Linked DNA regions of Bombyx mori. The protein of the gene in region 4 binds, or shares a complex with, the protein of the main gene of each other region. Links are inferred from orthologs where the notes say so. Each region holds a gene or a part of one and is shown on either strand. Other genes may lie near its edges. The genes, in order: acylglycerol kinase, mitochondrial; Tim10; mitochondrial import inner membrane translocase subunit Tim9A; mitochondrial import inner membrane translocase subunit Tim22.

Region 1 (8,523 bases), on a different chromosome or scaffold from region 4:
ATTGTTTGTCGATTGATTTTGAATTTTCAACATTAGCGCTAGACTCTATAATCTTACATGTTCGACTGTTAATTGAGATAATTTTTGCAAGATTTTTGCGAGATAAAAATAATTTAAAATCTATAGTGTAACGCAGCGTTCCGTTTCGCGGGGCAATAGTAGCCAAAGGGATTGTGACTCAGGTCCGTGCCGCGACGACCCACCCCGCGCTACCCGCGCCCGCGCATCTATTGCATCATTCGCACCCCCAGTTGGTGCGCGCCAGACTTTGAAGCGGAATACACGCGTCCCCGGTCGATACCGGAACTGACAACCCGAGAGTCTCATGCCAGTCGGGCACCTAACATTAAACTGGCGCCCAACGTTGGGGCGGGGCGGGGTGGGTCGTCGCGGCACGGACCTGAGTCACAATCCCTTTGGCTACTGTTGCCCCGCGAAACGGAACGCTGCGTTACAATAGTGCCTATAGTAATTTACCGTTGACGTTTATATAGTAGTATTTCGGTGCTCCATATACTGCAACCGGCTAATATTGAAGCTTTCATAAAATGACTGTGTTACATTAAAAAGCATCATGAACATTTAACAATTATTTATTGACAGAATAATTTAATAACTTTTGGCATTAACGTTATTTTAATTGGTTTCATATCAAAATCCTCCTTGTCGATTTCTATAACTGTATCTCTATCCGTTTCTTTAGGTGTGATCTCGATGGTACGTGCAAAAATTGGCTCTGGATCCGAGTTTGTCTTTATTCTGCGCCAACCTTCAGACACAAAGTCGGTGTATGAGTAACTGTTTCTGCCCAGAAATATACTCAAGGCTGGTATCTGATGGTTCATTGCAACATTCTGCGTTTTAATTTTGAAATCGCAAGTTCGAAAGCACAGTTCTTTCGATGTCAGGCACTCTGGATTTAGAATCTTCGTTTGGTCAAGCTGCCCAGCCGCTTCGGTGGACGAAACAAAGAACCATTTTCGTTTTACTTCCGGCCTTTTAGCTGTACAGTTGGTGCACCCGACACACGGAGGAGTATATTTGATGGTGCCGCTGCAATTCCAGTTTAATGAACTCTTGTAACCATTGAAGATGTAGGCAGCATACTCTCTTAAAGGACCATAGAACCAGTACTTATCCTTCTTTGCTAGGGTGTCCCTAAAAGCTCCCCACTCCATTGATGCCATAGCGTAAATCGGACGATTAGGAGTTTCAGACTCATCAGTAACTTGTTCTATTTTCATGGCATCTTTCCATACTGTGTTTCCTTTGATGATTGCCATTGAGGCGGTGATCAACTGCTTAACTTTTTGTACACCCTTACCGTTTGGAAATAAAGTGTTACCGATTGAGTTTGTGCGTCCGAGTGGCAACACTCCTACTGGAAACATGTTTGCTTGATCATTTCGTCTTAACAATCCTGAAACAGATGATATATGTACCATATATAAATGTACGTATGATATGTATATGTAGTATTTAAGATATTATAAATGAGGCCTATAAAATCAAAGGCAGCTATATCCATGTCTGTCAAATATTCAGGTAAACTACAAAAATCGGCCCTAAACACGTCATTACGGATCCTCCCGATCCATCGAAGTACTGCTCTTGCTAGGGCCAGTGTTAGCAACACTCCCGGTTTGAGAATCTGAAATAACTTTGTTCGATAGTTTTTTTTTTTTTTTGGTCATGAGGAAATCGCCGGACTTCCGCTCTTTTCTGGGGATACACGATATTCTTTTATTATTATTTTATTTATTATTTTATTATTATTTTATTTTATTTATTTTAAAACAGATTTATAAAGAATGAGAATATTACTAATAATCAGAATTTTAAATGATAAAACTTCGTTTATTAGTACTTAATACAGAGTAAACATAACTTTTTTGAACTGAATTTGTTAGAGATTTAGCTGCATTTGTTATAACATGAAAACACTAAAGCATGTTCAACTAACTAAACAAGATAGAGCCATTGTTAATACATTTTACGACATTATGGCGTTTAGCTGCCTTTGATTTTATAGGCCTCAAATATATATATGTTTTTAGGATACAATTTATTCAGAAAAATTATCTAATTATTATTATTCACTCAAAATTTAAATCATAACAGTCCCCACTGTGGCCTCCATTTACAGAGTATTCCAAGGCAATGTATAATGAATATAAGTCGTCGTAGCCCAAAGGATAAGACGTCCGGTGCATTCGTATCTAACGATGCACGGGTGTTCGAATCCCGCAGGCGGGTACCAATTTTTCTATTGAAATACGTACTTCACAAATGTTCATGATTGACTTCCACAGTGAAGGAATAACATGTAATAAAAATCAAACCCGCAAAAATTCTAATTTGCCTAATTACTGGTGGTAGAACCTCTTGTGCTGCCGTGATGCAGTAATGCGTTTCGGTTTGAAGGGTGGGGCAGCCGTTGTAACTATACTGAGACCTTTGAACTCATATCTCAAGGTGGTTGGCGCATTTACGTTGTAGATGTCTATGGGCTCCAGCAACCACTTTAAATCAGGTGGGCTGTGAGCTCATCCACCCATCTAAGCAATAAAAAAAAGAAAAAGAATAATGTACATATATAATAGCTCCGTATGTAGCATTTGTAGGAAATAAGAAATAAAAATATTCAGCTTGAACTTTCATGTGTAATGCAAACACATTCTTACCAGTTACAGTCTCAGACAAAGTACCATCTCCTCCTGCAACAATAATAGCTTCAGTACCCCTTAATGTTTCTACAATTTCTTTTGCATTTCCTTCTGAAGCTGTTTGCACAACATCTACCTGAAAAGTTTGTGATTGTTGTATAGTTGTGCTAAGCACATGGGTCATGTGTCAAGGAGAATGGTATTCATGAATTGAATCCATCAAACTATTTCTACTTGTGGTAAGACATCTTGTAAGTCTCTGTGTGGGTAGGTACCACCACCCTGCCTATTTTTTGCTGAGAAGCAGTAATGCAATTTGGTTTGAAGGGTGGGGCAGTCATTGTACTGTAAAAATGAAGACTTTAGAACGCATATCTCAAGGTAGGTAGCTAGATTTACATTGTAGATGTGTATAGGCTTCGTTAGCCACTTAACACCAGGTGGTCCGTGAGCTCATCCATCCATAGAGCAATTAAAGCTATGGGCTGTAAATATATTGATTTGAATTAGATGAAAATATTGATCTAGATTAAAGAAGCGAAATCTTTACATTTTATTTCAGATTTTTATCAAATATATGTAACATAAAATGCAAATTCTTTATACAGTAGACCAGCACTAATTTAATATGCCTGTAACTGGATCATATCAGGTCTGGATCATATCATTTAGATTAAGAGACATATTGCTTAATATGTGACATTTATCTTTGTAAATAAAGCTAATGAAATAGCCTTTTACCCCTCAATATAAATTAATTCTGTTAAATTTTCATTAATGCATGTTTGAACTATGTATACAACATAATTCAAACCCCATTGCAAGACATTTGTCTAATGACAGATCAAATGTATAAACAATTTATTGAAAACTAGTTGACCTAGCACTTTTTAGTGCCTCAATCGATAAATAAAATACCTAAGCTTTTGTATAAAATAAACTTAGAACAAACAAATGGAATCCATCCAACAGGGGGGACATATCAAAGGAAAAAAGTGCTATTTTTATTCAATTTTGAGTATTTTCATATTTATCTACCTTTTAAACCTTCTCTGGATTTCCACAAATAATTTAAGACCAAAATTAGCCAAATCGGTCCAGTCGTTCTCTATTTTAGCGAGACTAACGAACAGCAATTCATTTATATATATATATATATAGAATAGATATAGAAGATAGAAGATTATACCTGTAAACCACCTAATAATAGCAATGGTTCACAATATTTCTCAAATTCTTGTTTTGCTTTCCTCTTGTTGGCTACAGGGTTGAGAATAACTGTTATGACTGTGGGGTTTCTTTCGATGGGCAGGAGAGCTTCGCCGTAAATTGCAGCCTCTTTACATGCTGCTCGCATAAGTATATTAATTCTGTTGACAATACATAAACTAGATTTTTTAAACTTAAGTGGTAGGCGCACAGGTGATAAAGGGGCGATTAACTTGGCTGGACAGTTAAAGTGTTGGTCAAATCTTTAGTAGTAGATAGCACATAAGCTGTGGTTCTGGAAATGCTTGTAGTGAGTAGGTACGGTAGCTGCATAACATCAGTTTGGTTCGTATGACTGCCATGGTGAAGAGATGAAAACTTTTTTTGTGAATTAGTAACTCAGTTACAAAATTTAGTTTTTAATTTGAAATTTTACGCACTCATATTTTTCTTTTGCAGTCGCACTAGCGTAGTATATAGCGACTGCACCAAGGACTGATTTCTTCCAATTGTTTCGTATTGTTTTGGCAAACTTCGCTATTCTTTCCATTTTTTTGCATTAAATCGAATAAATCAAACTATAAACATAAACATTTAAGGTTATAGAACTTACAGATCAGCTGTATAATTCTACTTTTTTTTTCAGAATGGCAATCGGCTTCTGGCCATGTCCTTGTTGAGCTGTTTAAAATTTATTGTTTTGTTTTGTTTATTTCGTCTATTCACATAGGAACGAAGTTGGTGAATTGTTTTATTTTGTTAATTTTGCTGTTCTTCAGGCTTCAATGTAATTACCATCCCATCTGTGAAAGCACACAAATGTGGTAAAATGAACAAAGCTGCTGTGCTGAAAAAGTCAACTCAAAAACTAAAAAGTCTCGTAAAATTTATTCTATTTCATCTTGTTTCCTTTTATTTCATCCCAATTGATTAAATGCTATTTCACTATTTATTTTTTTCATAATCTATGACTCGAAAGTCTTTTTATGCCATTAGGACTTTTTGGCGGGAACGCGAGGAGTGAAGTTGTGTGATTTGTTTTATTTTGTCTATTTAGTGTCTCTTCAGGTTTAAATGTGTAATAATGGTGGTTTATTAACTGTTTAATATCTGTGAAAGTGCACAAATGTGGGAAAATGAAACAAAGCTGCTGGACGTAACTTCTCGGGTTCCTTCAAAAAGACCACTGAAAAAATCTCAGTAAATGACCACCATTTTACTGCGATTATATTTCATCCCATATCATTTCATTTCATTAAATTTCATCCCAGTTGCTTAATGTCTCATTAATCATCTTCATTTCATTCCACTCCATATTATCATTTTTCATAAAATTAAGAATATAAAGTAAAATAAGACATGACTTAAAGGTCTTAGTTACCAGGTCATAAAATCTCTTAAAAAAAAAAAGTTTATGCCATTAAAATTCCTAAAAAAAAAGTCAATGACAGGTAAAGGAAAAGTAGCTCATACAGTCAAATCCTGGTCGCTCTGCCAAAGCGAAATTTTTGTTGTATAAAAAGTGAAATAGCATGGAAATGAAATTGAGAGGAATAAAATGAAACAATATGAATCCGGTGACATAGGTCAACAACGTAGGTGCAAGATGGGATAAAATAAAATAATCACCGAGTAAAATTATAAAATTTTGATGAATCATAAAAAGAACCTGAGAAGTCAAGTGCAGCTTCATTTTCCCGCAATTTGTGTAGATGTGACCTATGTAGATACTAAACGGTTGATATTGGTCTAGTATTTTTTTTATTACATATCTAAATTTAAGAAGAAACATTAAATTGAGAATATAATAGTAAATCCTTCAGTAATTTTTTGGTGTTCCCGCTAAAAAATTCCAAAATCATGTCATTAAATTGTTACCAGAGTAATCAATTCCTCACAATTCAATTTAATGTGTTCCAATGATTTCACATGCACAATCGATCAATGGGGATGTAAAATATCACTTTATCCATTTTTTTTATCGCTATAAATATTATTTACTTGCATGAAAATTAAATGATGAGTTTTCCGTTGTCAGAAATTAGAAGAATGTGCACATAAAATCGATTTTAACTCAAACTATGACGAAACCATTAAATAATCGAAGTGCAGCACTACGCAATACAAATTGATTTGTCAAGAAATACATTAAACATTATTCGTGATGTGTTAATCAGGAATATTCAAAATAATAACAAATTTAACAAAGTATCTGCCATGAGTTCGAGTTGCAATGAAACATCTCAACTTCCTGATGGCTGGGTACTTTGCACTTCCAAATCAAGTCCTGGAAGGAAGTACTATTTCAATAAAAGAACGGGAAAGTCTTCCTGGACGCAACCACAGGTATTTTTTCTCTATATTTACAGATTTCATCGCTGTTACTACGGTCAACGCCTCAGTAAAATTCATTACAGGAAACGTTTTTACAAATATGTTTACGTTTAATATTGCTTTACCTACCATTCGTAGTTGGACGAGAGTAAAGATAAAAGTAAAAAAGAAAAAGATAATCAAAGGGATATGAAAAGTAAAGAAGAGGAAAAGAAGAGTTTAAAGCGTAAAAATGATGGCTCTGAACAAAACTCCCCAATTCGAAAGCAGAAAGAAGGTACTTTTCAGTCTAGTCTTTATTATGTATTAAATATAAAAAATACTTCTCAAACAATGTTTTTCGTTCTATATAATTTACGTAATCAAAATAGGTTTCAACCTAAACGTAGAAAAGTAAGGATGAGTTTGCAAAGCTAATGGTTTTGTTGGTAACCAGAAATTGTTGTTTTATTGAACCTACCCTAACATTGTACTCCTTCACATAATCACCTTTTTGACAGTTAAAATCTTTTTAGCTAAATCTTCTCCAGGGAAGTGTTGGCCCAGTCTTAATGAAATATCTCTTAAAAATGTAGAAACAAAGAGACAGAGCACAAGTCAAGAGCAAACTCAAAAAGATATCCCGGGGAGAGCACAAGAATCATACAGACACAGCAGCAGCCAAAGAGAGTCAGTCTCTAGAACAGACAGCCCTGACAGACGCACCCCAGCTAAGAATTTAGCTAACACAAGACTCACACAATTAAGGGCCCAACTTTCTTCAGAAGCACAAAAAGAGGAAAATAAAGATTCTACAGTAAAAAAACGCAAAATGTCCACAGACACTGAAACTTCACGTAACAGTAGAACGGAGAAAAGTCCTAGTTCTAGTGATGTAAAGAGTTCAACACAGTCTCCCAGCAGTGAGAGCCTACCATCAATACCATCACCATCACAGTTTTTTGCAGCAAATAAGATTATTTCATCCATGAAAGCTCAGTTACCTGAAGAATATTGTGATAAAGTGAAGCAAAAGGATATGTTTGCTGATATTGAACAAGGAATATATAATCAAGTTACAGAGTATCCATATATGAAACATCCAGCTACTCCACCACAATTTTCAGAAGCCAGCAAACTGGTTTCAGCTATAAAATCTAAGTTGACATATAAAAGTTCTGGTGTTGATTGTGACTTGATTACATATTCATCGGCACAAGATCGCTTAGATGCTCTACGTACAAGGTTGAGCAATGATGCAACTAATGCAGAATATAGCATCAACATTCCGGAAAGTAAGGAAGATTTTGCCTGTAATGAAGCTATGGACGTTGATTTGAAGAGTGAGATAAAAGAGGTTTGTATATTTAAATTTATACAATTTAGTATTCTAATGTATTCTTACATGAATTGTAATGAATATGTTTCTTCACTTTTGTTGTTGATGATTTATCTCAAAACCATTTTCTTTAAAAGATACATAGTATATGAAATTGGAGCTTTTTGTTTGCTAGAATATGCTATATACATATTATATAAAATTTTAGACTTCAAATTGAGCTAGAAAAAATAGATGTTCACCATGACTATAAATCTTTAATCTGATTAAACTATTAATCATTTTACAATTTAGCATGTAAAACTTATAGTTTAGTTTGACTAGTTTCATAACAATTTCAGACAATTCTATGTTACTTTTAAGCTTTAATTTTAACTGTATTCAAAAATGATTTGAATACAGTATTCAAAAATACTATAATTGAATGTGGGCATTTTGAAACTGCTAAACCTAGTATAATGGTGGTAGCACTTAATCAAAACTCACCTGGGTAGGTAACTAAATTTTCTGTATTTCTACTGCAAGCAAAAAGGAAATGTGTGTTTTGGTTTGAAAGATGGAATAGTGAATTTACAACTAATTTTAAATTTTGATCTTTTGTTTCTAACATTTTTGCTGCACCATAACTGCATCATAACTGGTGGTAGGACCTCTTGTGAGACCGTGTGGGTAGGTACCAGGGTGCCTATTTCTGCCGTGAAGCAGTGATGCGTTTCGGTTTGAAGGGCAGCTGTTGTAACTGTACTGAGATCATAAAACTTATATCTCAAGGTGGGTGGCGCATTTACGTTGTAGATGTCTATGGGCTCCAGTAACCACTTAACACCAGGTGGGCTGAATGCTCGTCCATCCTGCTAACCAATAAAAAAAAACTATTAATATACTCCAACAACACCTTAAAATAAGGAAGACGGTGTGATCAATATTGGTGGGGGCGGTTGTTTATCAATAGTGGAACTATACGTGTTGCAAAAAAAGGGGAATATAAATAAATAA
Region 2 (8,507 bases), on a different chromosome or scaffold from region 4:
AACGAGAAATTTCAATTTGGTTTTTAAATTATCGTTTGTTTACTTTGGATCAGTACTTAAGCAGGTTTCATTTGATTTTTAACACCTATGAAAGTGATATTATTCTAAATTGTTTTATTCTTTCATTCATTCGCTATTCAGCCACTCTTGTGCACCCTTAGACATGTGCCTCTCCCAATTTATATTAATAAGCCCAGTCTTCAGCTCTCCTGATCCATTGCTGGTCACTCTGCACAAGTCATCAAGTAACGGACGCTGGCCTAACGACTTCATTTTAAAATGAGAATCCAATATATTACAAAATGAACTTTGATTTTCTAGGGCATCCATACAATAAAGACCGTGGATAGGATTTACAGTCTCACAGAATTGGATGTCGTTTCTAACATGGACTTGTGTTCGAATATTATGACGTATTTTGATAAGATCAAAGGGTTCAAAGTGCCCTGTTACCATTCCTGCGATCTACCAGAATTCATAGAGAAAAATAAAAGGTGTGAAAACTATCATGGCGTCGAAGGGGGCGCCGTATTTGACAAGAAGAAGAATCAATTAATCGGTGTTGCCACATGGGGAGCGTATTATCCTAAATACGAATTACCGGTCGGATACTCTGTGGCGAATTCGGATAACTTCTACGCGGACTACATGTGCGCTAAAAGGATTAAAATGGATAATGATATGTTGGTCACGAACGGACATTACCAGCACATTTGTGATTTTTTCTGAATCATTAAAATGCATAAAATACAATAAATGCTCTTTATTTTTTTGCTTCAATTTAAATTTTAGACTTAACCTATTTTTCGCTATTCACTTAAACACAGAAGTGGCTAACTTAAAAAAAAAAACAAAATGAAAATCAACTATCATTGACATCGAAATTAAATTTAAATTGAGAACTTGAAAAAGAGAACTTAAATTTTTTTGTACTGTCTTTGTTTGCTTCTTCAGTATTGTGATCCTTAGAGTTTCCCTGTATGTTGTCATCGGCTATAACAGACTCTGTGTTACCAATTTTGTTATTTTCTTCTGTAACGGTAGAAATATTTCCATTTTCTATTTGATCTGAAGTCAAATCGAAATTAAAACGGAACGACTCATCTCCTGTAGTTTGAAATACAGATTTCCTAAAAAATGTTGCCTTTGGTTTTTCCTGTACTTCTGATATTTTGATTTTACTTGTCACTGAAAACAATTAAATTTAAATTAAGTATACCTTAATACTGTTGTGAATGTGTGGTTTGATGCCAAATTGGGCAACCACTATCTTCCATGGTTCATATCCGGGCATATATCAAAGTGATTCTCAGTACATCTAGAATAGAACAAATATGCATAATGTAAGTTTAAGTGAAGTAAATAAAAATATCACTAAGCAAATGCAGTATTTCTGTAAATGTTAGTGCTTATAGTCAGGTGGTGGTCAGTCTGCAATGGTGATCACCTCTTGTTAGGTATTCATATTTATGTAATTATTTTTAAGAAAATAATTATTGACCAGTTGTGGTTGAGGTCCTCAAACATTTTATTATAATTTATATATGGATATGGCGAGATTAATATGCAGTTACTAACAAAACAGAAAACTGTAGACAGCTAAAGCAAATAGTCGAAAACCTATTAATAAGCTATCAGTCAATAAGCATTGGCAATAGAAAAATCAATTAATAGGCTAGCGGTCTGTAGTGTTAAGTAGTTCCATTTAGTAGACTTCCAATTTCATATATTATAGCTTCATGAAGATTTGAAAATTAAATACTTTAATTTTAAAACACATTCATATATAGTGATGTGTGTTTCATGCGATAAAAACAAATTTATAAAGCAATTAGATAATAAAGGTAAATAAATGGGGACCACTTTCCACTTATTACCATACAAAGGTGTGCGTGCGACTCATTAAAAGTAAAATATCCTTATTCAAATACTCAATCACAAATATTGAACAGGCATTTTACTATACACATTTAAATCAGAATTAAAAGTATAGTAATATTTCATACTGTTATATTTAATGAACCAGGTGAACACTATGAGTACCTACTTAGCCCCAATATGACCTCATATCAATGCCACAAAATTTGAAAACACAAAGTTTATGTTGGAATTATATACAACACATTTGTACCGTATACTTAAAATTACTGCCACACAAGCGAATTATATTTAATTACCTATAGATATCGGTGATCCATATAAAAATTGATGCACCGATGCTAATAAGATTATAATTGAAAATATCAAGTTAAATGTAGCTTTAGTGTGAAAACATACTTTTAGACAATTTTTTCTCCTCTGAAGCCATTTTAGCTCGATAATCACCGAAATGTGTCCTCATTAATTGTCTCTTCCTTATAATCGGCTGATTATTGTTTTTCAGTACAGTTAAGACTTTCCATGTTTCTTGCACTGAAATCAAAGTCAAATGGATATTGCAAATTTAGTAGGAGGGTAGGTACCGTGCAAATCGAGAATTTTAAATTAAGAACTTTTTTATGAAGGCACGTATTTTGATATTTTGATGTAGCGTATTTTTTAAAACTCGAACATCGCTAAATTGGATAATTTTTTTTTTAATTTGTCTTATTTTAAAACTCACATTGTTTTTCGTTTCCTTTCTTTTCATTTAAAGTTCGCTCTAACTGTTGGATACACCAACATAACTCGAGCTGAAACTGTCGTAACGATTCCTCGGGGTCTACACCTTCGGACTCATGTTTATCAATTTTACAAGGTTTCTGTAAAGATGTCGATTTGCCTTTATTGTGCAATCTTGTTGGTTTAGGCATTTTATTTATGATATTTTATATCGCCACGTTTTGAAACTTTGTTAATTCCAGAGAAGTTTTGATGAAGTGTAATCTGTGTATTATTATAATAACGGATGTATGTAACGTTCTCTTTGTAGTAACGAAACCAAGTCAACAGAGGACACTAACTTGGAAAAAACTGAAAACAAATTTATAGCATAGATAATTAAGTAGCATTTAGATCGGGTGCACATTGTCATTCCTGCCGGCACCAGTTTATTGTCTATGGTTGATACAGACTGTCCCGGTGACTATTTTATTTATTTATTATTGTACAATATATGCAATGCGATAGATTTTTATTTTAGACTAGCTGACCCGGCAGACCTCGTAGTGCTTCAATCGTTAAATAAAAGACCTAAACTTTTGTATAAAATAAACTTAAAACAAACAGCAGGAGTCCGTCCGACGGGGGACACATCAAAGGAAAAACAAATTGTTATTTTTATTTAATTCCAAGCATTTTCATATTTATCTACCTTTCAAACCTTCTCTGGACTTCCACAAATAACTCAAGACCAAAATTAGCCAAATCAGTCAAGCCGTTCTCGAGTTTTAGCGAGACTAACGAACAGCAATTCATTTATATATATATAAGATACGATAAGATAAGATAAGATAGATAGAAGATAGATTAAAGGTATTAAAAACTAAACTTCGCATTATGCCAATAGTTTGATGAATCGTTCGAATTAATTCTCTTCTGTACGTGTTATCAAATAAACCGGCCCAACCGATACGAATGAGTATTTCCGTCCGGGCTTAACATAGACAAATATTTTGAAGAAAAAAAATGTTTGCCAGGGAAGACCGCTGATGATTCTAATAATTCCTCAAATTTCTCATTAATATTAAGTTTAAACGAATCTTGTGTCTAATTTATATTTATGTACTCTATTATGGCAGATTAATCTCTACATTGGAAATCTGTAAGCTTAGCTCAAAAAATTTTATACCAAAAAGTTCACAAAGTTTAATTTATAATTAATAATTTTATTATTTAATTAATTTAATAGTTAATTTATGTATAATATAATTAATATAGCAGATTTTTCATAAAAACCCGTTCCTATGTAATGTTCCTCCTTTTAGTCGATACGCGCCTGCAATATTTCTTTACAATCATACGATCACATAGCGACATCCGGCTGTGACATAACGTTTTAAAAATTGGTACTAAAACGTAACCTTAAAGTTGTAAAAGCAATTCCAAAATTTCATAGTATGCCGCTTGGAAAATTTGGAAAAATTACTCTTTCGTGGTAAATAACTAAATAAGATATACCCAAGTTTATCACCAGCTTACTTTTGATTTACCTTTCGTTGGTGAGCGCAGAATTAAATTCGATTTTACTCATTTCATCATTCGTCTATTTAGCCAAGTTCTATTTTGTGTAAATATAATTCTACAAGATAAGTCAATTACCTATCACAGCGTATTATTATGCTCGCCTTTTATTACTTATTAATAAGAAAACATGAAAATTAAGTTATATACTCCACAACCTTGACTCTCATGTGTCTTCAGCCACAAGAAATCCATCAAAAATAACGTCATAACTTTGGAATAAACGTTAAAAGCGAAGATCTTCGAGCAAGCGGGTTTCATTTCTAGGGTAGACCCACGATCTTTTGTAAATATGCATACTTATCTTGGAAATGTTGTTAATGCGATTCAGTTATTTTGGAAATTACTTATAGTCTATGTTACCTTATACTACTACGCAAATACAAGACGAATCTGTATTCTAAATGAATTTGAACTCACGTTTATGCATTTAGATTAAAACTAGTGGATTTTATATGCATATTTTGTGGATTCTAACTTAATTAAAACTTGATAAGTCTAGTTTCTGAGATAAGTAGCTGTTATCGGCTGTTTCGCCTGTGGCGTTATAGAAATGTGTCAATTTAGTTTCCTGTGGGTATGAGATGTTTTTTTGGAATAAAAATCTCCTGACCTAAAACTATGTCAAAAAAATCATGTTAATTTATTGCTTCATTTTAAAGTGAATTAAAGACAGACAAGCACACTTTTTAATTTATACCATTAGTATCAACGTGTATGATGTAGTATGATTTTATTAATTAAGCTTAGTTATTTTATGTTACACGTTTCACAAATGTTCCAGACCCATTAGCAGAGAGAGGATGTTTTAACCCAGGATCGGTGTTAATTTCAGGTTAGCAATAACAACAGCAAGTTTATCATTATTCGTGGTGGCGAAGAACTACATTAATACTCAGCGTGTTGAGAATATGAAAGCAAGAGAACGCATGCGAAGATCTAATCAAGGAGAATACCCTGACTTGTATCGGAAATTGTGAACTTGAATTCATTATAATGTGAGTATCTCTCTAGTAACTCTAGAAAATACTGGTGAGTAACACTAAATTAACTGGTGATAGGACCTCATGTGAGTCCTCATGGTTAGGTACCACCACCCTGCATATTTCTACCGGGAGCAGTAATGAGTTTCGGTTTGAAGATTGGGGCAGTCGTCCTAACTATAGTGAGAGCTTTGAACCCATATCTCAAGGTGGGTGGCGGCATTTACGTTGTAAATGTCTGGACTCCAGATACAACTTAACACCAAGTGGGCTGTGATCTCGTCCGACTAACTAAGAAAAAAATTTGTATACAGTGTATGAATGTAACTAAAAAATATTTTAATCTACTGTAGTTTCCAGATATACCATTGAACATTACTTAGTTAAAACGTAAAGATGGCAGTACCGCAGCTAGACCCTGCAAAGCTGCAATTGGTGCAGGAACTGGAGATTGAGATGATGTCCGACATGTACAACCGCTTGGTGAGCGCATGTCACCGGAAGTGCATACCAATTAAATATCATGAACCTGAATTAGGTAAGCCAGGCAAAAAAAAATATGGCGAACATTATAATTATAGGGACCTTCAAAATTGTATTCATTGTGACACACAAATGGTTTATTAAACTGTGGTCGTCGTGGCCTAAAGGATAAGACGTCCGGTGAATTCGTATGTAGCGATGCATCGGTGTTAGAATCCCACCAGTAGTTACCAATTTTTCAATCAAATACATACTTAACAAATGTTCGCGATTGACTTCCATGATGAACGAATAATATCAAATAAAAAGTGTAATAGAAATCAAACCCGCAAAATTATAATTTGCATAATTACTGGTGGTAGGACGTCTTGTGAGCCCACTCAGATAGGTACCATCACCCCACCTATTTCTGCCGTGAAGCAGTAATGCGTTTCGGTTTGAAGGGCGGGGCAGCTGTACTGTTAAAAGTGACACCTTACAACTCATGTCTCAAGGTGTGTGGCGGCATTTACGTTCTAGATGTCTATGGGCTCCGGTAACCACTTAACACCCGGTGGGCCGTCTATCTAAGCAATAAAAAAGAAAAGAAAGATAATTATGACCTTCAATGTCCATTTGTTTCTTTTTAAGCCATCACACTTATGAAGTTTATGACCTATAGTTTATAATTATTATTATAAGCTAAGCTTTAGGGTTATACACTGTTACAGGACATCTACAAATACAAAAATATATAGATGATATAAAGATAGGTGATATTTAGAAAACTGATGTAGCATATGCTTTTAAAATAGATACAAGTATTTAAGAGATTTAATTGCCTCGCTTATATAGGATGAGTTAATTTTGAACATGATCTTCTCTTCTTACAGGAAAAGGCGAATCTGTATGTTTAGATCGCTGTGTAGCCAAATACTTGGACGTACATGAACGCATAGGTAAGAAACTTTCCAATATGTCACAAGGAGAAACCGAAGATCTCACAAAGGTCAACATACCAGACAAAAAATAGTACGAAGCTACTACTCACGACAAATCAATCAGTTGCTAGATTTTTCACAGTGACCAGTACAAGACATCTGCAGATTTGAGATATTTTGTTGTGAAAAATTTGCAGTAATATATAGGTGAAGTAGTCTTTCTATATATAATATTAATTCTGCCATTATGTCAGTACTTCACTATGAGAAAACAATCTACTATCACTAGTAATCTCGAGAGATTATGCTACCTTGGTCATCTACCCTAACAAGGGCAGTGCTTCACTTGTGACGTTTGGGAAATAATGTTACTCAATTTTGTCTGTGTAGTTCAAAATTCAAATTTTTATAACCGGTTCTGTAACTGAAACATTGGCTGAAACGCAATTGGTGCAATTATTTTGCCTACTTCTATGAAAACTATTTTTCTAAAACTAGTTTATTTTCATAATTAGTTCAAAGCTCTGTCCAGTGTTGTTACTTCATACGGCTATTCAAAAAAGTTATGTTTATTTATCTCTACACTACCCTCTATGGTACTCTCACAGCTCGACAATATTTTAAAGATACTGTAATACACTGTACTGTAATGCATAAAAAGTAGGATTATGTAAATTTTAAGACAGAAACTAGCGGTTACCGAATGAAACGACCATAGAGTTTAATGAACAAACAAATTTTATTAGCATTCTTTTTTAATCATAATTTAATACTGTTCATGTTTTTCAAGATCAATCAGCCATAAACTGTAAATTTTTTTTTTTAAATTTTTTTATGATTGAAAGATTACTGGTGGCCCGGAGTCCTTTCCAGTTTCACCAGGACACGTGGGACATGTTTTTTTATAAATATGCTGGAATGTCTTACGTGAACACGAAACTTAATTAAATTTATGCTTTTAAATTTCATCGTGATAAAAGCTGAATTGATTTGTCGTAAGTCAAAGCTTACAAAAGTAACGTTTACAAACAATGCGGAGACCGCGTTTCAGAATTCTGAATGTTATGCTAATTAAGGAATTCTCTTATTGAAATGCATTTTTTTTGTTAATTAGCGTGGACTATATGTTTAGGTTGAATTGTTAGATAGTTATTAAAAAATAAAACAAATGAATAAATGCAACAAACGTGTTTTATTTAAAACAAAAAAAAAACAAACCTATCTACAAGACAAAACAAACTATGAATCTACTAAAACGGTATGTACTTACACTAAGTTTTTTAAAATTCGAAAGGCTATCAATTTGATAGAATTAAGCTTTTAACAAAATTAGTGTAGGTCATGATTCTCAAAACAATAAACGAAAAAAAAAAAAAACAATTCATTTCTCTTTTATTCCTTTGCCAGATTCGTTTATCCCGAATGCGTAGCCGGGGCGGTAGTACTTTATAAGCTGCGTCAGTATAAAAACATTACTGCCATAGAACATAACGCTCTGACACCAGATCAACATGAAAACCTGCCTGCATTTGAACTCTAATTGGTACGCGAAAAACAACCAAGCACATTGAGTCGCTATCCAGAGGAAAACCAAGTAAACAATTTTACCTGGTTCCATTTTGAAGTCTTTTAATACCAATGGTAATAACGAGAGGAACCAAATAAAGTACTGTGATGTCATGACGCTGTTATAAGCGACCAGCACGACGGCTTGCGCGAACATTGCGAACGGTAATGTTTTTGGGTCACAACCGTAATTCAGACTCAGCAGGAAAAGTAGAACGCACTTGGAAACCTGTGCCAATATTTTGACAATATCAAATGACATCTGATCTTTCGTTAAATACGTATAGTAGAATAGTATAGAGAAATTGTGCCTAGTGTCTTTCCTGAGGAGATGATAAATATATGTTTCGAATAAGAATTCGTAACCGTATCTCAAGTACATAGCGTACGTTAT
Region 3 (7,387 bases), on a different chromosome or scaffold from region 4:
GTAGGTACCACCACCCCGCCTATTTCCGCCGTGAAGCAGTAATGCGTTTCGGTTCGAAGGGTGGGGTAGCCGTTGTAACTATACTGAGACCTTAGAACTTATATCTCGAGGTGGGTGGCGCATTTACGTTGTAGATGTCTATGGGTTCCAGTAACCACTTAACATCAGGTGGGCTGTGAGCTCGTCCACACATCTAAGCAATAAAAAAAAAAAACAATATTATGTAACAATACTGACATTACATGCACACTTTAATGTGTATTTTTTTCTTTAAATGTTGTATATTATTACAGCGAATAAATCATCAACAAGCTGTTTAGGACGGTGTGATCTACCAAAGCACAGATGTTTAGAGAGACGCGAAGTAAAACCTGGACCTGTGCCCAAACACATGGGTTGGTTGTATACGGCCAAAAATTCACCTGAACATCAGGTTACCATTGTTTTTACAATAACTTCTTTTTAGTTAACATTCTAAATAGAAATTAGAACTTTTTTAACTTCATTCAAATCGGGAAAATAAATATAGCGCACATAATACATAAACATGCAGAGTACATAAACAACACAATGCGAAAGCCGCCACGCCATGTCTACCATGGACGGGTCGAAGTCTGAATTTCGTTGAAATTACGGCTATTCTGCGAAGCCCAAAGCATAATAGTCTGGTGACACCAATAACCAGGCCAATGGTTCAAAGCCGTATAACTACCACTAAATCGGGGATGTTTGCGGATGCGCGAATTAATAGCTTCGCAACAATGAATTGTAAACGAATTGCTTCCCTAATTCGCCGCATGCGGGTCAGTCGCAGCAGGTACCTGCGGCTTTCGCCTCGCGGATGGATCTGGACTACCCAATAATGCAACACTGGACAAGTGTGCATGTTGAGCACTCTGGATCCAAACCAGCCTTTAGAGTTTGGATTAAGGTAGTTTTGACGTTAATTTGGTTTTTTTGTTTTATTATTATTGCTTTTGTTTTATTGCGTATACTGGTATACTATATGAAATATTAATGAATGTAATATAGATGCAAAATCTGAAGTAAATGAAATAAATAAATTAAATAAATAAATTACTGTACGAGTATTTATTTTACTAATAGCCTTTACTTTTGCAGTTACGATGCGGTTGGCGCCCGGGACATGTATCTTGTTCTGTACTCCGGAAGATTGAACAACATAATTCTATGAGAATGGGCAGTTGCACTCCTTGCCCTTCTAGCTGTTCACGCCCCTTGTGTTCAAAGCCATGCTGCATGCCTCCGAAATGCCTAGCTCTATGTCCATCCTCACCATCATGCTGCAAACAGCCTGCGGCTACACAGCCTATCCTTAGAATAATAAGGCACGAAGGACAATATACAATATGTACAAAACCGTCCAATGTCAACAACGCTCCGTCTGGTCCATACCCACTAAAGTACGTCCTGAACACAGATCCCGATGAAGGACCAACAGCGAACGCAAAGTATAGCGTAGAGGCTAAATTCAATGATTACCATTTTGATTACACTAGCTCCCAGTCTTCCTTCGTTTTAGACTTTTCACCCCCCGAACAAAGATGCTTTAAGCCATGTCCGAAATAAAGATTGAAACAAGTTGTATGTGTTTTAATACATTGATCAGTACAAACATACATTTTTCTCTTATAAAAAAATCCACCCAAACTGGTTGAGAACTAGTTTCCCTTTTTTTGGCCACCTAACAATTTTCCTTTTTGTTTACCTTGTTTTGTGTCCTAAGTACCTTTCACTTTTTTATTCACAGTGAGGCGTACAAGCACACTGTTGTGTGCTTAGTGCGAGTTTTTTAACGTTCTCCATAGCATAAAAGTTAGGTAACTCAAATTTGTATGTAGTTGAAAACGTTTGCCTACGTTTGCCGCTAGGGGCGCTGTTCGAACTGCCTACAAATATGAGTTAACTTTTTCGCTATTGATTGATTCGCTAAGCACACTGACCTCACAAAGTGATCATCTCTGTCTATAAATGGATTAACTCAAAAGATTTCATGGTAAAAAGAAAATAAAATGTATTGTATGTAAAACAGCTCCTTATAAAGCTAGTGATTTCTAATCTAGCAACGAGTAGTATGATGATAAAATAGACAGGTAATGATATATCAGATCCGTGAAGCAATGCCACGGTGCAGGCAGTGGCAGCTTTGGAACCAAAAAATAAATATGTCATGCTTCCATTTTGAATTTCGAAATTAATAATTATGATTAGTCTATGAAAGTTACAATTTAGCAAATTAATGAATTTCCATATCAATTACTATCAAAAATTAGAATAAATTCATCAAAAACACGAATTGAACTTTTTCATGATAATCTTACATAACACAACCAAGTGTGACAGTAATTCACTATTAGTGAATTTGAAAATAATGATAAGCAATGAAAAACAAAGAATCTGTCTAACAGAACTTTATTGACAACAATTTAGACATACACTGTACATTTGCACAAGTATATCATTATATAGGGTGTGCTTTCTCTTACTACACCTTAAAGAAAATGACTAGATAAGTCACAAATATACCATACTTTTTAACTAGGGTTACCAGATTTTTGTGCTAATGCTAACATGTTTTCATTGGCAAGCATTTGGAACTCATGGAATCTTTGTGAAACCCTCTGATTCATTCGTAGATATTTCTCCATACAGTTGACAGTGCATTTGTCCTAAAAGATAACACATTTCAATCAGTGATCTATGTAATGAAACACCCATTTTCATTTAACATTCCCACTAACTGCTATCCTGCTTTAATAATCACAGGGATACAATGCTCACCTGTCAAATGTAATAAAAGCCAAAAATAATAATTACTTGAACTATTTGTCAACAAATGCCACAAAATGAGAATAAAGAAAAAACTCATTAATATTCATGAGATAACACTGAATCTGGTGACTCTGTACATTAAAGAAAAAAATGAAATAAAGAATTATAGAAGCCAGCAGTTCCTGTAATTATTTTCTGCCAGTCTCTATTTGGCTGTCCATATTCAGTGCTCCAGATCTACTGTATACATTTACATGTAGTTTTTCACAGACAGATGGGCAGATTACAGATTTTGAACAGAACATAAGGTTTCTTACATTAAAATCATATGCTGCAAATGGTATTTTTAACAGTGATTGAAAGTTATATTTCAAATGATATAATTAACAAGAAAGTAACTGCTGTATTCAATTTTGACACTTAAATTGCTGAACTAATTTTGAAAATTCAGGGAAAATAGTATTATATCAGGGAAAGTAATAAGCTTATATTCCTCTAAGAATTAAGCTACATTTCATGCCACCGTGGAACACACATAAAAGAGCGTTACACGGGGGCAAAGTAACAGACGAAAATATAGTTAACTAATCGAGCTATTCCTTACCTCGGTAGATTTTAAAGTCCTCGACGTAAAATCATGAATGCAATCATTGAAACAAAGTTCAGACAGCTTGTTGTATTGTACAAGGAAATCCTTGAACTGAAATGAAATTTGAAAAAAATTAAATTTTCTACTGAAATTTGAAAACACTAAACAAAATGTACCGGCATATAGATGATAATTATTGGAGAAATGTTAAAGAATTTAAGAAATTAAATTATATTTTTAAATAAGTGGAATAATTCAGAAATAACATTATTTAACAAATTATTTCGTGAAAATACTAAATATTTACAGTTTTAATTTGATCAACTTCACTCATCATTTCAGGGGTCGCCATTTCTGTATATCTTCAAGAAAAGTTTAGAACAGTGTGATTGTTTAGTATTTTTACAATATTTATATTAAATCTAAATATTTATTTAATATTTTTATGAATTATTGTAATGTTTCAATTTTAGGTTAGATTAGAAGCCTTTTTTATTTTGTTGTACCATTTGACAGGCAAAGGTATAGCGAATGTACAGACTAAAAAAGCCAAATATTAAGATTATGAATTCACTATTTGACTTGACTATGACTTGACCTTAAACAGACACGTAGTAACTATTATACCAATCTGTGGGCAGAGCGCGGTCTGCATCTGGACCGCCGCGCCGACCCATGTTATACGTTTCGCGTTTCCAACATTATAAAAATTGAAAGTTGATCTTGGAAGATTGCATGCATTCGTATGCTTGACTCATTTAATTTTTGTCAATATGCACAATGTCAATATTTAGAAAAAAATGGCCTCACATAACTTCTTATGTATTTTCCAGAGCTTCCATTGCAGTTTGTAATTAACTGAGGTACCTATGTCATTTTATTGATTTTTTTTGTTTCAGAGTCATTTCCAATTTTGGTTTATTTCATTCTATTTAATTTTACTTTTCTTTTGAAAGGGTTCACTTCATTCTAATGAAACACGAAATAATTATTTAACCATTTCATTTAAAAAAAGCTATTAGAGTGATATGACTACATTTCCTTTGCCTATCAACTAAGAACAAACTACACATCTTAAAAAGTTTGCGCTACGAAATGTCAAAAATCATTGAATTGCAGTTTTAGACAGAAAGAATTAAAATAACCAAATAATAACTAGGTACGAATGTTCAGGTTTGATCGTCTACTACACTTTGTCTCTGTGTAAAACACATTTCAGATAATCAAATAATAATCAGATAGTACACGAAATCTCTTAGCTATAGAAACAATGGAAGAGATTGGAATTATTTTACCCGAGAAAGTAAGTATTCAAAAAAAGGCTTACTAATCGAATAACTGTAACACAACCTTTACACATAATATTGAACTTTTTAGGATGACCAAGTCACAGACTCAAAAGGCTTGGCGTTTGCTGGTCCTCAATCTTTTGATGAACTCGAATCTGAAGATTTATACACAAAGTACAAGGTAAGTGAAACAAGTTTATAAACTCCACTAAAACTATTCATTTTCACCAATAAGTAAATGTATGAGATGCCACCCACCTTGAGACATCAGTTCCATACTACAGTGGCTGCCCTGCCGTTCAAACCAGAATAAATCTTGTGCTAGTAACATCAAGATAGCCATGAGCCCATTAGCCCATTAAGGAAAAAAACTGCATGGTTTTCTTTAGCCACTAGTAGTAGTTACCTACTGAGTTTCTCACTAGTGGGTCACGATTGTGATCCAGTGGTAGATCCAGAGAAGCACTGCTCTTGTTAGGAAATTCTCTTAGGCTGAGCTGTGAGCTCTTTACACATCAGGTGAAGCCAGAATAGTTCCTTGAGGCTATAGGTAGATAAAAAACACTAAATCACAACTTTCAATCTGCAATACACAATACATATTATCTTTAGTGTATTGTGCAATACACAAAGAGACAATAAATATTAACTTTTATGTAAATTTAACAGAAACTCCAAAGAATGTTAGAGTTCTTAGAAGTACAAGAAGAGTACATTAAAGATGAACAACGAAACTTGAAGAAAGAATATTTGCATGCACAGGAAGAAGTAAAGCGCATACAGTCTGTTCCTCTTGTCATTGGACAGTTTCTTGAGGCAGTTGATCAAAATACAGGCATAGGTAAATGGTTCATTTATTTAATAATATAAATTACCATTGTCTGTGTATCACCATGAATATTGAAAAGTATACGAAACTTAATAAATTGACTTTAAAAAATGCGAAATGAAACTATGGAAGTAGTTATAATTATGTCTAGAACTCTAAAACTGAAAAAATACTAAATTACATTTTACAATCAATTTATTCTATCTTCCTAATATTACTTTTTATTTACATTATTATTTTTAATGCTGGCGAGGACTGGACTTTTCAGTGCTCATTATTTAAAGTGATGAAAAATGTCAAACAAATGTTGAAAACTTCTCTACAAATAAAGTCATAAGTACACACTTCAGGAATATCCAATGACATTTTTTTGTGGCAAAATTCTGTGCAATTAAAAATATTTTTTTGATCTTGATATTACTTTGTTGGCATTTCCAATACTTGTTATATTTGAGTCGACTATTATCAAAGGCGGCAATCTGACTTTTGGACAATGATTGGTAAATCAGAAAAACGAATTATTGACTTTGTATTCCATTGGCAGTCACAAAACTCTTCGGAACGACATCTTAGATAAATAACAGGTTAACTATTAACCTTTATTTAATGCAGGTTTTGAACCGTATTCTTTGAAGGAGACGATTATATTTAAATAAATCTGTATTGACATATCAATAAATTTTTTTTGTCCAAATGTACAGATTGCCACCTTTGATAATAGACGACTCATTTGCTGTTTGCATCGCTTACACCCACTTCCAGAATAAAACATATTTTATTTTGTTATTTCAGTTGGCAGCACCACTGGCTCAAATTATTATGTCCGTATTCTCTCAACAATTGATAGAGAATTGTTGAAGCCATCTGCTTCAGTTGCTCTGCATAAGCATTCTAATGCTCTAGTTGACGTCTTGCCTCCTGAAGCCGACAGCTCAATCTCTATGTTGCAAGCTGGTATGTATTATTTCTACTGTAGGAAGTTATCCTGAATCTATACTTGTTGGTGCAACCATTCAGGTGCTTTTAATTAGTTGACAATATTCTAACTATATTTGAAACTATCCATGAGAAGTGACATATCCATGATGGTTCAAGTGATAGAATTTTCATAGAATCTCATCTCATCTATAATATGTTTTATTATTCAATACAGTGTCAACTCTAGTATTTAATTAAATGTAATTCTAATAAATTGAATATTTTCATTTTTATTTATCAGCGTGTTTAGTGCACAGTAATAATGCATCAATCAATCAAGTGTTGATCAAGACGCTAGTTGAACGGTGTGTGTTTTCGGTCTTTTATTTATTTATTGCATAGGTGGTTTGACGAGCTCACAGCCCACCTAGTGTTAAGTGGTTACTGGAGCCCATGGACATCTCACACATAAAGAGCCCAGAGACATCTAGAACGTAAATGCCGCCATGAGTGGGCAAGATGGGCCTTGAGATATGAGTGAGTATAGTTACAAGGGCAGTCCCACCCTTCAAACGGAAACGCATTACTGCTTCAAGGCAGAAATGGGCAGGGTGGCGGTACCTACCGATGCAGACTCACAAGGGGCCCTACCAGTCCTACCACCATTAATTAAACAAATTATAATTTTGCGGGTTTGATTTTTATTACACGCTATTATTTCTCCATTGTGGAAGTCAATTGTGATTATTTGTTAAGTTCCTACGCATTTCACTACAAAAATTGGTACCCGCCTGCGGGATTCGAACACCGTTGCGTCTTTCGAAATGAATGCACCGGACGTCTTATCCTTTAGGCCACCACGACTTCGAAAGTCTTCGACGATTACACTCAAAAAGTAATTTACTTTTTACAGATGAGAAACCTGATGTTCAATATTCGGATATTGGAGGCATGGATACACAAAAACAA
Region 4 (8,477 bases):
GGAAACGCGACTCGCTGAAATGATCCGGCGAGGAACTCAGCGGGCTTTTAAGCTATATCACGTTCAACTCTTCAATTGGCACGAGTACAGTGGCCTGTGTGCTTAGTGCGAGTTTTTAACGTTTTCGATGAAGTTAGAGCGTTTGCCGCTAGGGGCGCTGTTCCAACAGCATACCTACAAATTTGATATAACTTTTACGCTATCGAGAACGTTAAAAAACTCTCATTAAGCACATTGCACTATAGCTGCTGCTTGCATTAGAAGTAGAATCGTTCAAAAATACAATCAAGCAGACCCATATGAAACTGTCTATGGATTCAATAGCGCCTAGCTGTTGTGTAAGCTGCGGCCATGATGAGAAGGTTATCGACTATCGTAACACGTCGCTGGCGCGAAATAGCGTTCTGGCGCTGCTTCATATTTTTAAGGAGCTAACACTACCTATTTGCTATGTACATTTTTAAGAACTATTCCATTACACACTGTGTCCTTTTACACAGTTCACCAGTTAACTGGACACATATTTTTTCTATATTTCTACGGAAGTTTATATCAGTAATCCTCTTTTCCTTCCTTTCCTTTCCCCCTACCTATTCGCTGGTAGCTTGAGATTATTTCAGCTAGGCGCGGATGGGTAGGTGAGGTTACCGGCTCAACCTGAGAGAATTTTCAAACACTATCCATACCAAGAGCAGCGTCTTGCAGAGCCTACCACCGGATCGGAATCGTGACAGATCTCTCTCTCGCATCGGTCGTCCTCGTGGAACTCGTAATTGAGTTTGACGAGGATGGTGACCAGTGTTTGAAGAGCCTAAAAGCACCGAGAGTGCATCGGGGGGATTCGCTTAAACATGTTTCGGGCAACGAGGGTTGTGGAGAGTATTAAGCGGTAGACAGCAGCTTGGCTCTGCCCCTCTCATTGCTGAAGTCCATGGGCGACGGTAACTACTCACCATCAGATGGGCCGTATGCTCGTCTGCTTACAAGGGTAATAAAAAAAAGGAGGGCTTTACGTTGCCCTGTCGACTGGGTCGAATATGTAATTAGCGGCCACGATAAGGTTATCGTGTCACGCCAGTATGTTGAACTAGTTGGCGTGAGAGAAAATGATCATTGTACACGAACAAGCTGTGCTATGCTATTTACTGGTGGTAGGACCTCTTGTGAGTCCGCACGGGTAGGTATCACCACCCCGCCTATTTCTGCCGTGAAGGAGTAATGCGTTTCGGTTTGAAGGGTGGGGCAGCCCAGCTCAACTATACTGAGACCTTAGAACTTATATCTCGAGGTGGGTGGCGCATTTACGTTGTAGATGTAAGCTCGTCCACTCATCTAAACAATAAAAAAAAAAGCGTTAAAATCACATTGTCAAATACCAAATTTTCTTAGGAATCATAAACTTCCACGACAAAGAGAATGGTAGATAGGCGTATTGTATTTTAAATCAGTACCGCCAGTCTGGGAGACAGCCTAAGCACCTAGCAGTGGATGGTCCACACGGTCCATAGTTCTAGTACCCCCACCCATTCAATATATGGTTACCAAAATTTTGCGACATCACAACTTCCATGCTGTTTGAGTGCCTACGGTGAATAGGGTGGAATTCTCATCATCACTATGATAAGTCTATCGCAGTCTTCAATGAGATCCTGTTTGCTCGGGGCAGTAGTCAACGTTCTAGTAGATTTGTGAAAGTGAAGAGAAAATACTGCAACCACAGATGAAGTAATGGGAAGGTTGTAAGTTAATGTTCACCACAGACTGTACCCCTTATCTCTGATTAGCTTGACTGACTATTCGGTGTCCTGAATTTCTGAAATCATTATGCATGCATAATACGTAAGTCATTTTTCAAATAAGGTTAAAAAAACAGTTTTGTCATATTTATGGACAATAAATAAGTTATCTTGCGTAGTAGAAATATATAAAAAAAATAACATTACTAACATTTTATTGATAAAATAAACTAAATTATTATTTAAGCCCGTTGATGCATATAGTAGTCAATGATCGTGGAAAAGGCTGCAAATCCCATCGCTCCAAACATGCCAGCTTTTAATCCACCTGTAATAAGAATTTTTCCAAGATTTTAGTGCTTAATTTGCAATTTTTCAGAATGTTTAATTTGGAGAAGTTTAGTTGTTGATAAAAAAAAATTATATTTCACTAAATATATACATAGAATTATATAGCTAAATATAAAACGGAAATCATAGCCCATGGATGTGGTAACAATAACATACTTTAACATTTTCTCCTCCAATTTTTTGATATTTATGTTTTGTTTTTACAGTCTTTACTTAAGGCAGACTTCAATAAAATATTTTTGAATAGGTAGATACCTTTTTTTTTTTCAAAATGTTGATAACTAAAATATATGTATGTGAATTCTAATCTTGAGGTAATGGTTTACGTCTTGAGAATCAATATCTAAAAATATTTAATTTTGAGAAGTGAGTGAGTACTATTACTATATTACTATACTATACTATATTAGTTATATTATGGTTGACACAATACATGACAACAGATATTTGATACTATTTTATTATATTATTTATTTAGAGTGCATAACATTAAATGGAAACCAAGCCAAGCTCAACAATAATGGTAAAAGGAGAAATCAATCTCTACTACTAAGAATTTTCTATAGAACTCCGATTGATAAATATTTGGTAGCAAACAACTACAATCCAAAGAAGAGAAATAGACTAGACAATACATTACTTTAAAAATGATTAAAATGCACCATACCTCTTAATCCAATTAATCCTCCTGTAATTCCTCCAGCATAAGTACCGTTCTTCCAGTCGGACTTCCCCCTTGCTGTTTCGATACAACACTCGACCCCAGAAAACACAGCACCAAGTATCGCAAAGTTTTTTCCATAACTCAACATGGAGTTTTTCATTTCCCGTAAAATCTCTCTAGCCGTTTGATTTTGTTGGGCAGTAGTATCTGTTACGTTAGGCATCAGGGAAGATGTGAATAGACCCACTGCTGCTCCGAGACCATATCCTGTAATAAAAAAATGTTTTTGTACCCTGTTAGCTATTAGTTATAGGTAACAGTAAAACTTTCATTGTTAAGTTAAAAAAAAAAGTAAGCATTTTTGGCAAAATGTTAATCTTTTCACACAATACCAATTATAGAATATGAAAAGTACACCTTTTTTATTTGGTTAGTTTTAACAGTAAAAACAAAATAGTGTAGTGTTTGTGAGCACAGATGAGCATCATTTAGGCATAGTTCTGAAGATACCCAAAGGCAGACTAAAGAAACCATGTGGATATCAATGTGGGCGTTTTATGCAATCTATGCAATTAGGTAGGGCTGGTGCAGAATAATGTGGGGGAAAGTTTGAACTCTTAAATCCCGATCAATGCTTCACTGCATTGGTGTTTGTATTTCGAAGATCTCGTGGCCTAAAGGATAAGACGTTCGGTGTATTGGTGTTGAGCCACAGTGAAGGAATAACAATGTGTAACAAAAATCAAACCTGCAAAATTATAATTTGCATAATTACTAGTGATAGGACCTCTTGTGAGTCCACGCGGGTAGGTACCACCGCCCTGCCTATTTTTGCCGTGAAGCAGTAATGCGTTTCGGTTTGAAGGGTATACAGCAGCCGTTGTAACTCAAATGAGATCTTAGAACTTATATCTCAAGGTGGGTGGCGTTAGCCCCCAGTAACCACTTAACACTAGATGGGCTGTGAGTTCTTCCACATATCTAAGCAATAAAAAATAAAAATTAGCCGAAGATACAATATTACTGTAAGCACTTAACTTACCAATTATACAACTAGTCAATGATTTAAAGGGACAGCTCTCAACCGTTGCCTCGATCATCTTCTCCTCATTGGTTTTAATTATAACAGGTCCAAGAATTCTTGGTATAATGATATTTTCACGAAATCTGTAGTTGTTGCCTATCAAATATTTTGCAAGCGAATCATAATCACTATTTTGGGTAAAGTTCACTAAATTTTGGTCTGGAGGTGGTCTCCGGTATTCACCCATACTTATCGCTATGTGTTGACATTAAGGTTTAAATATTAAATGCAGGTAACTAAAGTTTATTCACTAGTATTTAAGTAGGGACCTAGGTACCTAATAGAGCTTAAAACTTTTAAAAGTAACCTAAAAACAGCTGGTATCTGACACTTGACGTAAATGATTAATTCAATAGGCAGTTTCGCTTTGACGGAAAAGTACGGTACAAAATAGCTGGACCTGGCTCTTGTTCTTCAAAAATGTGCTTCAAATACCAGTAAACCTCCATAATTTTGATGGAACTACTTATATAATTTCAAATAAACCAACTTCATTCCGTTTCGCTCTAATCTGCTTTTTGAGGACAAGGTCTGTTAAGAAAGTAATGAAGATTTGGCTAAAAGACCAGAATCCAGGCTATTAAAAATAATTTATAAAAAACAAAACAAAAATATTTTATTTCAGCAATGTTGTGGTTAGTTATTCCTTATCATATTATACATTTTTTATTATAATCAGTGGTTAGCTATGTCAGATTCATCTGAAGATGAAGACCTATCGCGTTTCAAAGACGTCGTCGACAACTCTTTCGTTAAATCTCTATCCCAAACTCGTGTTACAGGATCTAAAACAATTCAAGGTACTTATATTATTTAAAGTAGTATACATACGAGCCCTCCGTTAAACATTTAATGCGTAAACATGTGTATACACCGATAATTATCCTTCTACTCTTTTTACCTAGTAGGTTAGAAACTATGGCATCTGCATAAAGTAAATAGCAATGATTAAATATGAAAGAATAGTAAAATAAATTATTTGCTTATTATGTTTATTATTATAATGCTATTATTATATATTTCCATCTTTTAATGAAATGCAAATTAAGTATTCGAGAGAAACATTCATTTTTAATTAAATAAATAATATGTATAGTTACACTTACAAACCTTTTTTTTTATTCAAGGCATTGAAGAAAAGCCCGTCTCCCAACGTTACTTAGAAATATCAAGCCACTACAATGATGTGAAGGTTCCAGAAGAAATGCAAAAAAGAATTGGTGCTAAATTATCAGCTGTCATACAGAAAAATACAAGATTTGTAGATGTGGACCCTGTTCAACCAAAGTAAATGTTTATTTTCACCGCAAAAGATGATAGTGCTTATGATACTGGAACTACGCATTAATGTGAACTTTTATCATTTATCATCTGGACATTTTAAGAATATTTTTATCGAGGGTATACTTTCTTAGAGACCAGTAACTCAGATTACAAACATAAATGATACACAAAAGTGTAATGTTGGTATTATTAAAATTGGTCTTTACGAGTTGAAATATTATTTACTACTGGCAAACTTTTGTTAGATTATTTGTATTTTACTGTATACTCCTAAAATCAGCAAACCAGTAGCTGGAACTGGAGCAATTGCTCCACAAAATTGTATACATTATATCAAATTGAAGTCATTATGGTCTACATATAACACACCTGGTGTACACAATACTAAGCTATGTCACTATGCTGGTGTTGAAATCCTGCAGATTCATAGTTCATGTTTATTAATGACTTCCACAATAAAGCAATAGCATTGTATAATAAATATTAAACCTGGAAAGATATAAATTCTGGTAATGACTGGTAGTTGAATGTATTTTAGGCCCACATGAGTTGGCAACTACCATGTTGTTTACTTTGGTTGTGAAGCACATACTCTGCTCTTAAGTATGAAAAAATGATCTGTATCAGTTATGACAACAGGGCTGCGAGATTGTTCACTCATTGAAGCATTATTTTTTTATATTTTTTTATTTGACTTTATTATCTTATAAATCACAGGTTACACAGTTAAAACAATTTTAACTATATACAAAAGTTTATTAATTGTGATGGAACTTTTTTGAAGATTCACCAAATTTGTGTATATTTATTACAGAAAACGCAAAATAAAGGGAGGTGTAAAATTGTTCAAGAATTCAAATGGATTTTTATCTTGTGATGACATTAAGGACATATCCACTGAGAAACATAATTGTGAAGCGAAACTGTTAAAGTATAGTAAAGTTGGTCCTGACTCAGATGACATAGGTGAGTTAGGAAAGTTTACTGGTGGTAGGACTTCTTGTGAGTCCGCACGGGTAGGTACCACCACCCCACCTATTTCTGCCGTGAAGCAGTAATGAGTTTCGGTTTGAAGGGTGGGGCAGCCGCTGTAACTATATTGAGACCTTAGAACTTATATCTCAAGGTGGGTGGCGCATTTACGTCGTAGATGATGTCTATGGGCTCCAGTAACCACTTAACACCAGGTGGGCTGTGAGCTCGTCCACCCACAAGCAATAAAAAAAAAAACTTGCAAATTCTGTTTTTTTTGGAGGATGAAGTTAATTCAATATTATTAGAAAATGCTATCCAAATTATTCTACAATCATCACTACAGAAATATCTAAATCTGCTGTGGAGTAGTTCTGCTTTAAAGAAGCATTATCTCTAAACATTTCATGAAAGAGCAGATTGAACAAGTGACAGTTGGTTTTTCTCATGGTGACCCCAATCAATCTAGATCATCTTAAAAATAGAAGCGAGAAACAGTGAACACATACTTATGTTTAGATGAAACCACTTGATTGGATGTGTGGGAGGTTGCGTGTTCAAATCACGTTGGGGTCACTAGTGTAGGAGGCTTAAACGATAAAAGAAAGATCTTTCACCGAGCGGGTGATATTGCTCCGTAGATCGACGGTCCGAATGTTGTCATTCGGAAATTGTATATATCGATGCCTCCAATGAACACTACTCTAACTCAAAATTTTGAAATTTTCGTTTTTCACGCAAATCGCTTCATTATGTTAAAAGTATTATAATTAATCATTATTGATGGGGTTCGGAGCAAAAGTAAATCAGCTAGTTACACAAAAAAACCATAAATATATCTGCAATAATAAAGATTTTATTAACTTTTTTCGTTTAAACGCTCTTCCTGCAAATCTACCAAATTTGGAGTTAGCGTAGTGTTCATTGGAGGCATCGATATGCAAGCTTATCTTAAAAATGTCGTAAGCGAGATTCGGGCATCTGCCATATATCTTGTATTGTATGATGGCTACACGCCACAGATGCCTGCGAGTAACTTAGCTTTATGTTTTCAATCATCATTCTTTCAAATAACTCAAAACATTTCAAATTTTCTTCATCATGAATATCAGCTAAGTCAATATGATGCGTTGATTAAACTACCCATTCCCAGGGCTTCCAGATGTTGGTTTTCTTCACATTTCTGATAAAGGCAGTGCCTATATTTTTATTAGGTTGGATGCATGTTTGGCTTGTACAAATTAACTAGGCAATAACGAAAATAAATAATGTATTTACAGAGAAACTACATGCAGTTACAGTCAGTGGAGAATATGTACTATCAAAAGAAGAAATCAAATGTTGGAAATCTAGAAGAAAAGAGAAATTATATAAATACAAGGTGTCACAAAATAGTGATGTTTTAGTAGCTTTAGAATAAACTTGTTTTCACTAAAAAAAATCAAATTTATTTAGTTTTATTGGTAACTGATAGACCTTGTGCTAGTCTGCCTTCGAAGAAAGGAAATAAACCTATTTGTTGAAACAGCTGATACTCTGTATATTGTAAAATGATGGTACTCAATCGCCGACAGCTACTACTTAGCTTCAACTCTACAGAATAAACAACATGACGTAAACACATAGAACTAACAAAAAAAAAAAAGCCACGGATACAGTTACAGATAATGGTTCTTTTTTAATGAGAGTAAACATAAAACATATCGCATGGCCAATTATAAAAAAGATCATAAAAGCAAAAGTCAAAATAAAAAAGAAGACTATCGCCGACCGCACCGCACCTTTTCTTTTCACCGCACCGCTTCTTTTGTCACCTATATATTTTTGGACTCTTATTAATTTTCTATTAAATTATAATACGAACTTTTACTGACGATCACACTCGTCGTTGCGAGTGGTTTATGGACAAATAATTTAGAAGAGTGCCGTGTCAAGTCGTCAGGCCAGCCGCCGCCATTACGAGTCGTCCAGCAGTGACGTTGAATTCTGCAGCCTCTAAGAAGCTAGCGACAGGTTGGCAGGTACGTCTACTCCTCATCCTCATCAGCCTCGGCCTCTTTTTGTGCATCTTTAGCGATACTCGCCCCCGCAAAAGCTTCCTTTCAAAAATATTGAACCAGCGCACCGCCGTGGTGAACATTGTAAAGAGTTTTTCCCACTAGATATTACATAATTGTAACTATACTTGAGACCTTACAACTTATATCTCAAGGTGGATGGCTCATTTACGTTGTAGATGTCTATGGGCTCCAGTAACCACTTAACACCAGGTCGGCTATGAGCTCGTCCACCCAACTAAGCAATAACAAAAAAAAACTAATATTGAAATTTGTCATGCCCCATGTGATTTGAAATTGTTAATATTATGTTAAAGAATAATTTTAAC

What was found.
Region 1: mitochondrial import inner membrane translocase subunit Tim22 (region 4) and acylglycerol kinase, mitochondrial share a complex: the UniProt entries of both Homo sapiens proteins name them as parts of the TIM22 complex. The link is inferred for Bombyx mori from reciprocal best matches to the Homo sapiens genes TIMM22 and AGK.
Region 2: the proteins of mitochondrial import inner membrane translocase subunit Tim22 (region 4) and Tim10 are in contact, whole or in part, in a cryo-EM structure (PDB 7CGP), measured with the Homo sapiens proteins. The link is inferred for Bombyx mori from reciprocal best matches to the Homo sapiens genes TIMM22 and TIMM10. Residues at the interface, in NP_037469.2 of Homo sapiens: Tyr25, Ser26, Leu28, Leu29, Gln30, Tyr31, Leu32, Val33, Arg40, Leu42, Leu47, Gly48, Glu67, Glu144, Ser145, Tyr146, Gly148, Ser150; in NP_036588.1 of Homo sapiens: Pro3, Ala6, Gln7, Leu9, Ala10, Ala11, Leu13, Glu14, Val15, Met17, Met18, Ala19, Tyr22, Ser44, Lys45, Gly46, Glu47, Arg53, His62, Glu63, Gly66, Leu69, Thr70, Ser73, Met74.
Region 3: the proteins of mitochondrial import inner membrane translocase subunit Tim22 (region 4) and mitochondrial import inner membrane translocase subunit Tim9A are in contact, whole or in part, in a cryo-EM structure (PDB 7CGP), measured with the Homo sapiens proteins. The link is inferred for Bombyx mori from reciprocal best matches to the Homo sapiens genes TIMM22 and TIMM9. Residues at the interface, in NP_037469.2 of Homo sapiens: Asp35, Arg37, Gln38, Pro39, Arg40, Leu42, Gly45, Ser46, Leu47, Gly49, Ile50, Ser52, Pro53, Lys60; in NP_001291414.1 of Homo sapiens: Gln13, Glu16, Phe17, Thr20, Leu57, Thr60, Gln61, Met65, Phe67, His71, Gln74, Asn75, Leu78, Lys81.

What each region holds. Positions count from the first base shown.
Region 1 is NC_085118.1:2,012,876-2,021,398, forward strand, and holds acylglycerol kinase, mitochondrial, read right to left. Parts: upstream 4,810-8,523; 5' UTR 4,426-4,809; coding exon 4,316-4,425; intron 4,037-4,315; coding exon 3,856-4,036; intron 2,803-3,855; coding exon 2,685-2,802; intron 1,421-2,684; coding exon 594-1,420; 3' UTR 578-593; downstream 1-577. Other genes in the region: transcriptional protein SWT1, read left to right, coding at 6,093-6,221, 6,348-6,486, 6,725-7,545. UniProt on the Homo sapiens protein: Lipid kinase that can phosphorylate both monoacylglycerol and diacylglycerol to form lysophosphatidic acid (LPA) and phosphatidic acid (PA), respectively. Does not phosphorylate sphingosine. Phosphorylates ceramide.
Region 2 is NC_085130.1:5,898,067-5,906,573, reverse strand, and holds Tim10 (mitochondrial intermembrane space translocase subunit Tim10), read left to right. Parts: upstream 1-4,009; 5' UTR 4,010-4,139; intron 4,140-4,996; 5' UTR 4,997-5,159; intron 5,160-5,497; 5' UTR 5,498-5,540; coding exon 5,541-5,682; intron 5,683-6,499; coding exon 6,500-6,639; 3' UTR 6,640-6,698; downstream 6,699-8,507. Other genes in the region: uncharacterized protein LOC134201240, read left to right, coding at 322-729; GPI mannosyltransferase 1, read right to left, coding at 7,929-8,507.
Region 3 is NC_085124.1:8,577,915-8,585,301, reverse strand, and holds mitochondrial import inner membrane translocase subunit Tim9A, read right to left. Parts: upstream 3,850-7,387; 5' UTR 3,735-3,849; coding exon 3,690-3,734; intron 3,494-3,689; coding exon 3,398-3,493; intron 2,691-3,397; coding exon 2,556-2,690; 3' UTR 2,419-2,555; downstream 1-2,418. Other genes in the region: keratin-associated protein 10-7, read left to right, coding at 294-433, 1,123-1,590; 26S protease regulatory subunit 6B, read left to right, coding at 4,653-4,685, 4,760-4,852, 5,341-5,512, 6,293-6,454, 7,332-7,387. UniProt on the Homo sapiens protein: Mitochondrial intermembrane chaperone that participates in the import and insertion of multi-pass transmembrane proteins into the mitochondrial inner membrane.
Region 4 is NC_085122.1:12,603,838-12,612,314, forward strand, and holds mitochondrial import inner membrane translocase subunit Tim22, read right to left. Parts: upstream 4,154-8,477; 5' UTR 4,023-4,153; coding exon 3,794-4,022; intron 3,019-3,793; coding exon 2,755-3,018; intron 2,065-2,754; coding exon 1,979-2,064; 3' UTR 1,935-1,978; downstream 1-1,934. UniProt on the Homo sapiens protein: Essential core component of the TIM22 complex, a complex that mediates the import and insertion of multi-pass transmembrane proteins into the mitochondrial inner membrane. In the TIM22 complex, it constitutes the voltage-activated and signal-gated channel.